Anolis sagrei: one gene and its partner. The protein of the gene in region 2 binds, or shares a complex with, the protein of the main gene of each other region. Links are inferred from orthologs where the notes say so. Each region holds a gene or a part of one and is shown on either strand. Other genes may lie near its edges.

The links. The genes of interacting proteins can lie anywhere in the genome.
Region 1: DRC1 (region 2) and GAS8 share a complex: the UniProt entries of both Homo sapiens proteins name them as parts of the nexin-dynein regulatory complex. The link is inferred for Anolis sagrei from reciprocal best matches to the Homo sapiens genes DRC1 and DRC4.

What each region holds. Positions count from the first base shown.
Region 1 is NC_090028.1:28,334,015-28,341,338, forward strand, and holds the start of GAS8 (dynein regulatory complex subunit 4), read left to right. Parts: upstream 1-4,234; 5' UTR 4,235-4,318; coding exon 4,319-4,321; intron 4,322-7,324. UniProt on the Homo sapiens protein: Component of the nexin-dynein regulatory complex (N-DRC), a key regulator of ciliary/flagellar motility which maintains the alignment and integrity of the distal axoneme and regulates microtubule sliding in motile axonemes.
Region 2 is NC_090021.1:3,608,992-3,616,135, reverse strand, and holds the start of DRC1 (dynein regulatory complex protein 1), read right to left. Parts: upstream 3,017-7,144; 5' UTR 2,716-3,016; coding exon 2,474-2,715; intron 1-2,473. UniProt on the Homo sapiens protein: Component of the nexin-dynein regulatory complex (N-DRC) a key regulator of ciliary/flagellar motility which maintains the alignment and integrity of the distal axoneme and regulates microtubule sliding in motile axonemes.

The DNA of each region.
Region 1 (7,324 bases), on a different chromosome or scaffold from region 2:
ACCTTGGAAAGCTCCTTGAAGGTATGAGGTAAAACTGGGACTGGATTCCCCATTTCACTGACATGGGGCCCACTGTTGTGTACCATTGTTGTTATTTTGACTGTTTTGTTTTGCCCTGGTTTTATAGGTCTCAAATGAGTCCCTTTATGAAGATAAAAAATGGGATTAATATAAAATAGATTAAAAATATTGCCTTTTAATAATGTATTTTAATGCTGGTATTATAGGAATTTGGTTTGCCTCAACATTTAAAAAAATGACTCCATTCTGTACAATTAGGTTTTTTCTCACAACTAAATTTTCAGTATAGTGTAGGTTGAGGCTCTTTCATCTGAAATGTTTTTAATATGTTTATTTCTGTTCACATTTGGGACTTTGGAGGATTTTGAAATATGTATCTTTGCTGGGTTGTTGTAGGTTTTTTTAGGCTATGTGGCCATGTTCTAGAGGCATTCTCTCCTGACGTTTTGCCTGCATCTATTGCAAGCATCCTCAGAGTTTGTGAGACCTCACAACCTCTGAAAATGCTTGCCATAGATGGAGGCGAAACATCAGGAGATAATGCTTCTAGAACATAGTCATTTATTGTACTTTATTACATATATTATAAATATATATATTATATATATAATTATATATTATATAATTATAATCATTATTGAGCACTCTAACTGGAGATCAGCTGTGACCAGCAGTGCTGCAGAATTCAAAGGCACGAATGGAGGGCGAAAGGGAGAAAGGTGACAAGAGTAAGGCATGTCAAGCCAACCCAGACTGGGACCACCTTCTGCCTGGAAACCAATGTCCTCACTGCAGGAGAACATGCAAACAAGAATAGGTCTCCAAAGCCACCTATAGACCCACCACCAAGACACTACACTAGAAGGACCATCATCCTCGGGCTACAAGGGATTGCATAACTAAGTAAATATTATAATATTATATATTATATAATAATTTTCTTGGAGCTGTCGTCCAGTGAAGATCATGTCTACTGTTCCTCTGGAGGGTCGGAAGCCATTCTGAGATTCTGGTAGGGTGTCTTCCCAGGTAAAAGGTGGTTTCCAAAGATTCTTGCAAGGATTTTCCCACTGGAGGTCAGAAGGGAGATGCATCTGTTGTTTCCCCTTTTTTGAAAAGGGTGATGATGGTGACATCCTTGAAGTCTTCTTGGATTTTCTTAGTCATCCACATGTTTTCAATGAACTGGTGGATTTGTTGTATTAGCTCAGGTACACCCTCTTTAAAGATCTCAGCAGGGATCCCATCAGGTCCACTGGCTATGTTATGTTTTTGTTGGCTGGACGTTGCTGACTTCCTCCAAACCAGGCAGGGCTGCAAGCTCATCCCTGGTTAGTTGTTGTGGGATTTGTGAGAGAACAAATCAGGAGGTTGTGGTAGTGCTCTTTCTAACGTAGTGCAATTGATTTTTTGTCCTTCAGAAGTTTGGTTCCATCTGATGAGTGTAGGAGGGTGTATGCCATGATTTCTTGGTCTGTAATTACCTTTGTGGCTTTAAAAAAATCCCTGAGCATCATGGATATCTGTACAAGGAATCTGTACAAGGACCAAGTAGCAACAGTAAGAACTGACCACGGAACAACAGACTGGTTCAAGATTGGGAAAGGCGTACGGCCAGGCTGCATACTCTCACCCAATCTTTTTGCAGAACACATCATGCAATGTATGCAGAACACATCATGCAATGTGCGGGGCTTGATGAATGCAAAGCTGGGGTGAAAATTGCTGGAAGAAACATTAACAACCTCAGATATGCAGATGACACCACTCTGATGGCCGAAAGCGAGGAGGAGCTGAGGAGCCTTCTAATCAAGGTGAAAGAAGAAAGCGCATAAGCTGGGTTGCAGCTAAACGTCAAAAAAACCAAGATTATGGCAACAAGAATGATTGACAACTGGAAAATAGAGGAAGAAATCGTGGAGGCCGTGACAGACTTTGTATTTCTAGGTGCAAAGATAACTGCAGATGCAGACTGTGGCCAGGAAATCAGAAGACGCTTACTTCTTGGGAGGAGAGCAATGTCCAGTCTCGATAAAATAGTGAAGAGTAGAGACATCAGACTGGCAACAAAGATCCGCCTAGTCAAAGCCATGGTATTCCCTGTAGTAACCTACGGATGTGAGAGCTGGACTTTAGGGAAGGCTGGGCGAAGGAAGATAGATGCTTTTGAACTGAGGTGCTGGAGGAAAGTTCTGAGAGTGCCTTGGACTGCGAGAAGATCCAACCAGTCCATCCTCCAGGAAATAAAGCCCGGCTGCTCACTGGAGGGAAGGAGACTAGAGACAAAGTTGAAGTACTTTGGTCACATCATGAGGAGACAGCAAAGCCTGGAGAAGACAATTATGCTGGGGAAAGTGGAAGGCAAAAGGAAGAGGGGCCGACCAAGGGCAAGATGGATGGATGGCATCCTTGAAGTGACTGGACTGACCTTGAAGGAGCTGGGGGCAGTGATGGCCAACAGGGAGCTCTGGTGTGGGCTGGTCCTTGAGGTCACGAAGCGTCAGAGACGACTGAACGAATGAACAACAACAACATCATGGATATCTGCAAAGTGTTGGATTTCTTCATTGAACATCGAGAAAACCAAAGTGCTCTTCCAGCAGTTACCTGCCAATCCCTCTGCAATGCCAGAAATACAGCTTAATGGTGTAACATTACCTTGGCCGCCACCTCTCCACAAAAGTCAACACTGACCCTGAAATACAACACCACCTGAGCTCTGCAAGTGCAGCATTTTTCCAAATGAAGCAGAGAGTGTTTCAGGATTGGGACATCTGTAGGGAGACCAAGGTGCTCACTATGAAATGCAGTTGTTTCATACTTTATAATACTTTATTACAATTGATTACATATATTATGTGATATTATAATATATAATAATATAAAATTATTAGATATATAATATATTGTTATTATATATGATATTATTTTTTGTTTATTTCGTATCAAAAGCATTGCATAAATTAGTAAAAAAAAACTACATTACTGCATAAATTAGAAAGATACTCCACTTTGGCAGGAAAAACGAAATGCAAAGATACAGAATGGGGGATGATGCCTGGCTTGAGAGCAATACGTGTGAAAAAGATCTTGGAGTCCTCGTGGACAACAAGTTAAACATGAGCCAACAATGTGATGTGGCGGCAAAAAAAGCCAATGGGATTTTGGCCTGCATCAATAGGAGCATAGTGTCTAGATCTAGGGAAGTCATGCTACCCCTCTATTCCGCTTTGGTTAGACCACACCTGGAATATTGTGTCCAATTCTGGGCCCACAATTGAAGAGAGATATTGACAAGCTGGAATGTGTCCAGGGGAGAGCGACTAAAATGATAAAAGATCTGGAGAACAAGCCCTATGAGGAGCGGCTTAAGGAGCTGGGCATGTTTAGCCTGAAGAAGAGAAGGCTGAGAGGGGATATGATAGCCATGTATAAATACGTGAGAGGAAGCCACAGGGAGGAGGGAGCAAGCTTGTTTTCTGCTTCCCTGGAGACTAGGACGCAAAACAATGGCTTCAAACTACAAGAGAGGAGATTCCACCTGAACATGAGGAAGAACTTCCTGACTGTGAGAGCCGTTCAGCAGTGGAACTCTCTGCCCCGGAGTGTGGTGGAGGCTCCTTCTTTGGAAGCTTTTAAACAGAGGCTGGATGGCCATCTGTCAGGGGTGATTTGAATGCAATATTCCTGCTTCTTGGTAGAAAGGGGTTGGACTGGATGGCCCATGAGGTCTCTTCCAACTCTTTGATTCTATGATTCTATGACTACATTATATATTATTATGTATGCTATTATATATTATAATATATAATAATATAATATATATAATATATGAAATCAGTTAAAATATAATCATACTTATAAAGTATTATAATATATTATGAGCATGCTTATATTTTAATGGATTATATCCAAAATGTAATATTATTATATGTAATAATATACAATACCATAATAATATATATTATAATATTATATAGAATAATATTATCTTATGTAAAACAATAATATCATTATTATAATATAAGGAAATTCTGCATATAATATTTTAAATAGTTTTTTGGGCATGAATCAAAGCTTGTGTCCATTGTAGGAGCCAATTGGTATCAGATGAAGAGCCAAAGGGTGAAAAAAAACACCCTCCTTCTCCCTGTAACTAGGGGCGGGGCCTCGTTGCTAGGGGCGCGGCTTCTTGGCCAAGGGCGGAGCCGAGGCTCTCGCGAGATTTGGGCTACGGTTGCTTGGCAACCAGAAGACTCTGGGCCTAGTCTTCTAGAGAGACACTGAAGCCGTCACCATGGTGAGTCTGTCCAGTGGGAGGGAGAGAGTTGTGATGATGATGATGATGATGATGATGTAGGTTGTGTATATGGCCCACCTTAGTAGCTGAGAGAGTGGCTATGTCGTGGTTTGAGGGTTGAGAGAACAGGGGAAGCCACACTGTCAAATTAATGCGGATTGATTCCACTTCAGCGTCTTTAGCTCCATGCTATGGAGTCATTGGAGTTGTAGTTTGCAATCTTTGGGCAGAGAAGGCCTTGTGAAACTTCGACCCTTTCTACACTGCCATAGAATCCAGATTATCAAAGCAGAAAATCCACATTATTTGCTTTGAACTGGATTGTATGAATCTACACTGCCATAGAATCTAGATTATCAAAGCAGACAATCCACAATACCTGCTTTGAATTGGATTATATGCAGCTACACTCCCATAGAATCCAGATTATCAAAGCAGACAATCCACATAATCTCTTTTGAACTGGATTTTATGTATCTACACTGCCATAGAATCCAGATGATCAAAGCAGGCAATCCACATTATCTGCTTTGAACTGGATTATATAAATCTATGTTGCCATATAATCCAGTTCAAATAAGATAATCTGGATTTTATATGGCAGCGTAGAAGGGGTCTATGACTCCCAGGAACCATAGCACTGAACTGTGGCCTTTCAAGTGGGGTTAAACCGCATTAATTTTTCAGTGTAGACAAACAGTTTTGGGATTTGTCATCCAAAGAGATATAATACAACAAAGATGGACTTGATGGATTCTGGGAACTGCTGCCTAAAAAGAAAAGAAAAAAGAATATAATAATAATAATAAAGCTTTATTTATATCCTTCCCTATCTCCCCGAGGGGACTCAGAGTGGTTTACAACAGATATCGGCAAACGTTCAATGCCATGAGAAGCTGAATAAAGACAAAACTAACCAACTCCCCAAATCCCAAAAACAAATCCACATCTACATCAAAAATAATAACACATTATACTGCAATATTGCTACTAATATTATATGTAATATATACTATACACTTATCATATTATTGTATATTATTATATTGTACTATATTATCAAACCACAATGTATATCATACACTACCAGTACAATATACTATTAGTATTATATAATATCCCAATTTGTTTTTAACAGTGTTGTAACTGCAAGGAGAGGCGGGTAATAAAATAATAATATTTATTATTATCATTCTTATGACATCCCATCTTTTCTGGTGGATGGAGCTCCTGATAGCGCAATGGGTTAAACCCCTGTGCTGGCAGGACTGCTGACCAAGAGGTCAACGGTTCAAATCTGGGAAGAGCGGGTTGAGCTCCCTCTGTCAGCTCCAGCTCCCCATGCGGGGACATGAGAGATGCCTCCCACAAGGATGCCTCCCACCAAACATCCAGGCGTCCCCTGGGTAATGTCCTTGCAGGCAGCCAATTCTTACACTAAAAGCGACTTGCAGTTTCTCAACTTGCTCCTGACATGGGAAAAAAAACCCTTTTCCGGCAACCTAGTCAACTTTGGACCATGAATTTTGGGGTTTGCATTCTCTTGCCATTGTATCTTGGTCCTTATACCATATGTTTTGGCGGATTTTGATATATGTATTTTGTTGTATGCGTTTTTGTTGATGTATTTTGACTTTTTATTATTGTTATTTTATTATTTTAAATCTTGCAGGCTAAATCTAAAAATATTCGCACACTAATCCAGGTGTGGGCAAACTTTGGCCCTAAAGGTGTTTTGTACTTCAACTCCCACAATTCTAACAGCGGTAGGCTGTTAGGAATTGTGGGAGTTGAAGTCCAAAACACCTGGAGGGTCAAAGTTTGCGCATGCCTGCACTAACCCAACAGATACATCTGTACATATACTAAACAAGCAACTACAGGAACAATTCTGTGAAGCTTACACTCATTAATGTGTTTTGACTGTGTTGTACCCTGCCTCAAGCCATTGGGAGAGGTAGGTAACAGGTACAATGTATTATTATTATTATTTTGTTATTGTTACTATTTTTTAATATTGCAGACTAAATCTAAAAAAAAAAATTGCACACTACCCCAAAACATACCTACACTAATGTACACAGACTGAACACACAACTACAGGAACAATTCTATGAACTCATACTCATTGTCTGTTGATTTTTATCTCTTACTAGCTTGGGTACCTGAGTTACTTGAAAAAGACATGGTTTGTTTTTGGATGTTATAAATGGACCAATTAGAAATTAGCAGGTTAACGGAGTTATCAGTTGTCTTTGGATGGGGTTAGCAGTACTCTTTGGATGAGGGTAAAGGAACTGCAAATCCCATTGTCCATGGACCATCTCCCCCAAACCTCAGCAGGACATAAAGTCTCATGAGGAGGTCTCTTTGCCAAAATTAGTCCAGGTCCATGGCTGATGGGGTCTGCAGCAGCCTCTGGATGTAGGTGAAGGAACTGCAACTCCCATCATCCAGGTCCTTCCCCCAAAAAGCACCACAAAGACTTAAAGTGGGTCATCGGGTATCTGTGTGCCAAGTTTGGTCCAGATCCATGGCTGATGGGGTTTGCGGTAGTCTCTGGATGCGGGTGAAGGTACTGCAAATCCCATCATCCATGGTCCATCCTCCCCAAACTTCATCAGGCTGTAAAATGGGTCATGGGGGGCCCTTCCAGACAGGCCCTATATTACAGGATCCAATCTCAGGTTTTCTGCTTATCTGGCAGTGAGGACTCATATAATCCAGGTTATATAACTGCCATAGATGTGGATGAAATGTCAGGAGAGAATGCTTCTGGGTTATAGGGCCTGTCTTGAAGGGCCCAGGGAGTCTGTATCCCAAGTTTGGTCCGGGTCCGTCATTGGAGGTCTGTGGAAGCCAAAGCAGTTGAAGGTACTCCAAATCCCATCGTCCATGGTGCATCCTCCTCCAAACATTACCAGGATGTAAAGTGGGTCATGGGGAGGGGGGGTCTGTGTGCCAAGTTTGGTCCAGGTCCGTCTTTCATGGGGATCACAGTGT
Region 2 (7,144 bases):
ATCAGTGTGACCAGCAGTGCTGTAGAATTTAAAGAGGCATGAATGGAGGGTGAAAGGGAGAAACGTGCCAAGAGGAAGGCGGGTCAAGCCAACCCTGACTGGGACCGCCTTCAGATGTCCTCACTGCGGGAGAAGATGCGGATCAAGAATAGGGGTCCACAGCCACCTACGGACCCACCGCCAAGACACCGTACTTGGAGGACAATCTTACTGGAACAACAAGGGATCAGCTAAGTAGGCAGTGTAACTAATATAGAAATATGGAACGTTTGGATGATGAGACTGGATCTTGATTTTAACTATGAGATGAGATGAGATGAGATGTTATGTTTATTGATTGTTATAATGTTATTCTTTTAACTTGTTTTTAACTGTTTTATCATGTTTAAGTATTGTATTTGCTTTGTTAACTGCTCCGAGTCGCCCTGAGGGCTGAGAAGAGCAGTAAACAAATATAGTAAATAAATAAATAATAAATAAGTAAGTAATAAAGTAATAATAATAATAAAATAGTAAAACTTTATTTATACCCCGCCACCATCTCTCCAAGGGGACTCAGAGTGGCTTACATGAGGCCAAGCCCAACAATACATCAGTAAAAAGAAAAAGCAATAACCAAATAAAACAATACAATTAATATAACTCACATATAAACAATAACACACAAAGATTTAAAAACCTATGTAATATATTTAAATAAATAAATAAATAATAAAAGGGTAAAGGTTGTCCCCTGACATTAAGTCCAGTCATGCCTGACTCTGGGGTGTGGTGCTCATCTCCATTTCTAAACTGAACAGCCAGCATTCTCCATAGACACCTCCAAGGTCATGTGGCTGGCATAAAGGCCGAACAGGGCATAGGGTTACAGCCTGTGTTGGATGGGGCCGCACTCCCCCTGAAGACGCAGGTTCGCAGCTTGGGTGTGACCCTGGACTCATCGCTGAGCCTGGAACCCCAGGTTTCGGCAGTGACCAGGGGAGCATTTGCACAACTAAAACTTGTGTGCCAGCTGCACCCGTACCTTGGGAAGTCTGACTTGGCCACGGTAGTCGACGCTCTGGTTACATCACGTATAGATTACTGCAACGCACTCTACATGGGGTTGCCTTTGAAGACGGCCCGGAAGCTTCAAATGGTCCAGCGTGCGGCAGCCAGGTTGTTAACAGGAGTGGCGCTCAGGAAGCATACCACTCCTCTGCTGCATCAGCTCCACTGGCTGCCAGTTTGCTCCCGGGCCCAATTGAAAGTGCTGGCTTTAGCCTTTAAAGCTCTAAACGGTTCTGGCCAGCCTACCTATCCGAACGCATCTCTTCCTACGAACCCAGGAAGTTAAGATCATCTGAGGAGGCCCTGCTCTCGATCCTGTCTGCTCCGCAAGCACGCTTGGCGGGGACGAGAGACATTCCGGAGGGCCTTCTCAGTAGTGGCCCCTTGGCTGTGGAACACCCTTCCTACAGACATCAGATCGGCCCCCTCCTTATTGGCATTCCGGAGGAGAGTGAAGACCTGGCTCTTTGAACAGGTTTTCAACTAAGCAGTGCACTTGATTGATTATTGGAATATGGATTAATGGACAATGAGATTGGTTGCTGATTCTATTGATGAGACGTGATGGATTGTTATTTTGCTGTATTGTTGTATTGATGTTTTGATGTTAATTAATTGATATTACTGTTTTAAATGACTAATGATTTTGTATTGTGTTGTTGATACTGATTGTTAACCGCTCTGAGTTGCCTGAAGCAAATAAATAATAAATAAATAAATTATTATTCTTGATTATATTATAATAAATAACATGTTTAAATAAATAAATAATGTAACATATTATTATTCTTGATTATATGATAATAAATAACATATTTAAATAAATAAATAATGTAACATAATTATTATTCTTGATTATATGATAATAAATAACATATTTAAATAAATAAATAAAATAATTATTATTTATTATATAATAATAAATAATATAGGTTCTTGTGGGTTTTTTCGGGCTATAGAGCCATGTTCTCTAGAGGCATGTCTCCTGACGTTTCGCCGGCATCTATGGCAAGCATCCTCAGAACTACTTCTGAGGATGCTTGCCATAGATGCAGGCGAAACGTCAGGAGAAATGCCTCTAGAACATGGCCATATAGCCTGAAAAAACCCACAAGAACCGAGTGATTCCAGCCATGAAAGCCTTCGACAATACAATAAATAATATATTTAAATAAATAAATAAATAAATAAAGTGCTATGCTAATAATATATAATATATTGTATGTAGGGATAACTTGTAAGCCGCTCTGAGTCCCCATGGGGGTGAGAAGTGGGGGATATAAAAGTCGTAAACAAATAAATAATCTGGGACGGGATGCTGGGATACACTGCCCTAGGAAACCCAGGCTGTCTGCTCTGAACGGGATTATATGGGGCAGTGTGGACTCCTAGGATCAGTTTCTCTGAGGCAGGTGAGGCGGACCTGCGCTTGGCCTCGAGGCGGGCGGCGATGCGGAGCCGTCGGGCGGCGATGCGCTCCTCGGGGTCGTCGGAGTTGATGTTGGGGACGAAGATGCGCTGCGGGGTGGCGCTCGCCCCGCCCTCCGCCGCCGCCTCGCCGCCCTTGCTGCTGCCCTGGCCCTCCGACTCCGGCCTCGCCTCGGCACCCGCGGCCCCCTCCTCGCCGCCGCCATCCTCGCCCGCCGACGCCGACGCCGCCTTCATCCCGCCTCAGACTAGGCCTCGTTGCCAGGGGAGACCGCGTCGCCAGGAGGGACGCCGCCGACGTTGCCGTGGCGACGACGCCGACGCTCGACTCAGCCTAGCTGACTAACGCGCCTTGTACGCATGCGCAAAAGCAGCCCTTTCTGGGTGTTCGCAAACGCGTCGTCTACGCATGCGCAAAGTTAGCCTTTTCTCTGTGTGTATGCATGCGAACAGTTAGCCCTTTCTGTCTTCGCTCCTGAGGCCTTGTACGCATGCGCAGAGTTAGCCCTTTCTTGTGTTCGCGAACTCGACTTCTACGCACAGTCAGCTCTGTTCGCTAACGCGTCTTCTACGCATGCGCAAAGTTGGCCCTTTCTGTGTGTGGATTCGCGAACGCACCTTGTACGCATGCGCACAGTTAACCCTTTCTGTGTGGTAGCTAACGCGCCTTCAACGCATGCGCACAGCGAGCCCTTTCTATTCGTTAATACACCTTGTACGCATGCGCAAAGTTAGCCCTTTCTTGTGTTCACGGACTCGACTTCTACGCACGCGCAAAGTTAGCTCTGTTCGCTAACGCGTCTTCTACGCATGCGCAAAGTTGGCCCTTTCTGTGTGTGGGTTCGCAAACGCACCTTGTACGCATGCGCAAAGTTAGCCCTTTCTTGTGTTCGCGAACTCGACTTCTACGCACGCACAAAGTTAGCTCTGTTCGCTAACGCGTCTTCTACGCATGCGCATGCGCAAAGTTAGCCCTTTCTTGTTCGCGAACTGGACTTCTACGCATGCGCAAAGTTAGCCCTTTCTGTGTTCGCTCATGAGGCCTTGTACGCATGCGCAAAGTTAGCCCTTTCTTGTGTTCGCGAACTGGACTTCTACGCATGCGCAAAGTTAGCCCTTTCTGTGTGGTTTTTAAAATTATTTATTTATTTAATTAATAATAAATAATAAATATTTATTTATTTATTTATTTAATTAAAATTATTTATTTATTTAATTAATAATTATTTAATTATTTATATAATAATTATTATTTTATATTATTTATTTATTTAAATATATTATTTATTATCATATAATCAAGAATAATAATTATTTTATATTATATTATTTATTTAAATATATTATTTATTTCTAACGCGCCTTCTACGCATGCGCAAAGCGAGCCCTTTCTGTGTGTCTGTTCTCTAATGCGCCTTGTACGCATGCGCAAAGTTAGTCCTCTTGCAGAAAGGTTACTTTTTTGAGAGTTAAGGTCTGCTCGTGGAAGGAGAACGATTTCTCCTTTTTTGTGGACCCCTTCCCAAGGTATGTTGTTCATTCGTTCAGTCGTCTCCGACTCTTCGTGACCTCATGGACCAGCCTACGCCAGAGCTCCCTGTCGGCCGTTACCACCCCCAGCTCCCTCAAGGTCAGTCCAGTCACTTCAAGGATGCCACCCATCCATCTTGCCCTTGGTCGGCCCCTCTTCCTTTTGCCTTCCACTTTCCCCAGCATAATTGTCTTCTCCAGGCTTTGCTGTCTCCTCATGATGTGGCCAAAGGACTTCAGCTTTGCCTCTCATCTCCTTCCCTCCAATGAGCAGTCGGGCTTTATTTCCTGGAGGATGGACTGGTTGGATCTTCTCGCAGTCCAAGGCACTCTCAGAACTTTCCTCCAACACCACAGCTCAAAAGCATCTCTCTTCCTTCGCTCAGCCTTCCCTAAGGTCCAGCTCTCCCATCGTAGGTTACTACAGGGAAGACCATGGCTTTGACTAGGCGGATCTTTGTTGCCAGTCTGATGTCTCTACTCTTTACTATTTTATCGAGACTGGACATTGCTCTCCTCCCAAGAAGGAAGCGTCTTCTGATTTCCTGGCCTCAGTCTGCATCTGCAGTAATCTTTGCACCTAGAAATACAAAGTCTGTCACGGCCTCCACATTTTCTCCCTCTATTTCCCAGTTGTCAATCATTCTTGTTGCCATAATCTTGGTTTTTTTGACGTTCAGCTGCAACCCGGCTTTTGCGCTTTCTTCTTTCGCCTTGATTAGAAGGCTCCTCAGCTCCTCCTCGCTTTCGACCATCAGAGTGGTGTCATCTGCATATCTGAGGTTGTTAATGTTTCTTCCAGCAATTTTCACCCCAGCTTTGCATTCATCCAGCCCCGCACATCCTCGCATGATGTGTTCTGCATACAAGTTTAAAAGGTTGGGTGAGAGGATGCAGCCTTGCCGGACGCCTTTCCCAATCTTGAGCCCGTCTCCTGTTCCGTGGCCAGTTCTGACTGTGGCTACTTGGTCCTTGTACAGATTCCTCAGGAGAGGGGGAAGGGGGCTTGGGATGCCCATCCCACCAAGAACTTGCCACAATTTATTATGATCCACACAGTCAAAGGCTTTAGAATAGTCAATGAAGCAGAAGTAGATGTTTTTCTGAAACTCCCTGCCTTTCTCCATTATCCATCGGATATTGGCAATCTGGTCTCTCGTTCCTCTGCCTTTTCTAAACCCAGCTTGAACATCTGGCAACTCTCGCTCCATGTATTGCTGGAGTCTTCCTTGCAGGATCTTGAGCATTACCTTACTGGCATGAGAAATAAGGGCCACTGTACGGAAGTTGGAGCAGTCTTTCGCATTTCCCTTTTTTGGTATGGGGATATAAGTTGATTTTTTCCAGTCTGATGGCCATTCTTGTGTTTTCCATATTTGCTGGCAAATGGCATGCATCACCTTGACAGCATCATCTTTTAAGATTTTAAACAGTTCAGCTGGGATCCCGTCGTCTCCTGCTGCCTTGTTGTTAGCAATGCTTTTTAAGGCCCATTCAACCTCACTCCTCAGGATGTCTGGTTCTAATTCATTCACCACACCGTCAAAACTAACCTCAATATTATTATCCTTCCTATACAGATCTTCTCTATAGTCTTGCCACCTTCTCTTGATCTCTTCAGCTTCTGTTAGGTCCCTGCCATCTTTGTTTCTTATCATACCAATTTTTGCCAGAAGTATCCCAAGGTATACACAACCATAACAACAAAGTCTAAATTATTATTTTGTGGCTATTATGATTTTGAGGGGGTTTGGCAGAGTGGGTGAAGGTGATGGTTAATACCTCCTTACAGGAAGGAAAATTTCCAGCGAGCTTAAAACAAGCTATTATAAAACCGCTGTTGAAGAAACCATCACTGGATCCCACTCAATTCGACAACTATCGGCCAGTTTCCAATCTCCCCTATTTGGGCAAAGTCCTGGAACGTGTGGTGGCAACACAACTCCAGGGGTTCCTGGTAGACACTGATTATCTTGATCCGGCACAGTCTGGCTTTAGACCGGGACATGGAATGGAAACAGCCTTGGTCGCCTTGGTAGATGATCTTCACGGGGAGCTGGACAGGGGGAGTGTGTCCCTGTTAGTTCTGCTGGACCTCTCAGCGGCCTTCGATACCGTCGATCATGGTATCCTTCTGGAGGGTGCCTCATGGACATGGGGCTCGGAGGCACTGCTCTGCGGTGGCTCCGATCCTTCCTTGAGGGACTGACCCAGAAGGTGTTATTGGGTGACACCTGTTCGGCTCCGCAACCGTTGCTGTGTAGAGTCCCACAGGGTTCAATCCTGTCCCCAATGTTATTTAACATCTTCATGAAGCTGCTGGGAGAGATCATTCGGAGTTTCGGACTAAGATGTTACCTCTATGCAGATGACGTCCAAATCTGTCACTCCTTCTTACCTGTCACCAAGGAGGCTGTCCAGACCTTGAACCGGTGTTTAGCTGCTGTGTCGGACTGGATGAGAGCTAACACATTGAAATTGAATCCAGACAAGACAGAGGTCCTACTGGTCAGTCGTAAGGCCGAACAGGGCATAGGGTTACAGCCTGTGTTAGACGGGGTTCCACTCCCCCTGAAGACGCAGGTTCGCAGCTTGGGAGTGATCCTGGACTCATCGCTGAGCCTGGAACCCCAAGTCTCAGCGGTGGCCGGGAGAGCTTTTGCACAACTAAAACTTGTGCGTCAGCTGCGCCCGTACCTTGGGAAGTCGGACTTGGCCACGGTGGTCCACGCTCTTGTTACATCCCGACTGGATTACTGCAACGCACTCTACGTGGGGTTGCCTTTGAAGACTGCTCGGAAACTTCAACTAGTCCAGCGAGAAGCAGCCAGATTGCTCACCGGAGCGGCGTACAGGGAGCATACCACCCCCCTGTTGCGTCAGCTCCACTGGCTGCCGATCCAATTCCGAGCACAATTCAAAGTGCTGGTTTTGACCTACAAAACCCTATACAGTTCCGGCCCAGTGTATTTGTCCGAACGGATCTCCCTCTACGTCCCACCTCGGAGTTTAAGATCATCTGGGGAGGTCCTGCTCTCGACCCCGCCACTGTCACAAGTGAGGCTGTTGGGGACGAGGAGCAGGGCCTTCTCAGTGGTGGCCCCCCACCTGTGGAACTCACTCCCCAGGGAGATTA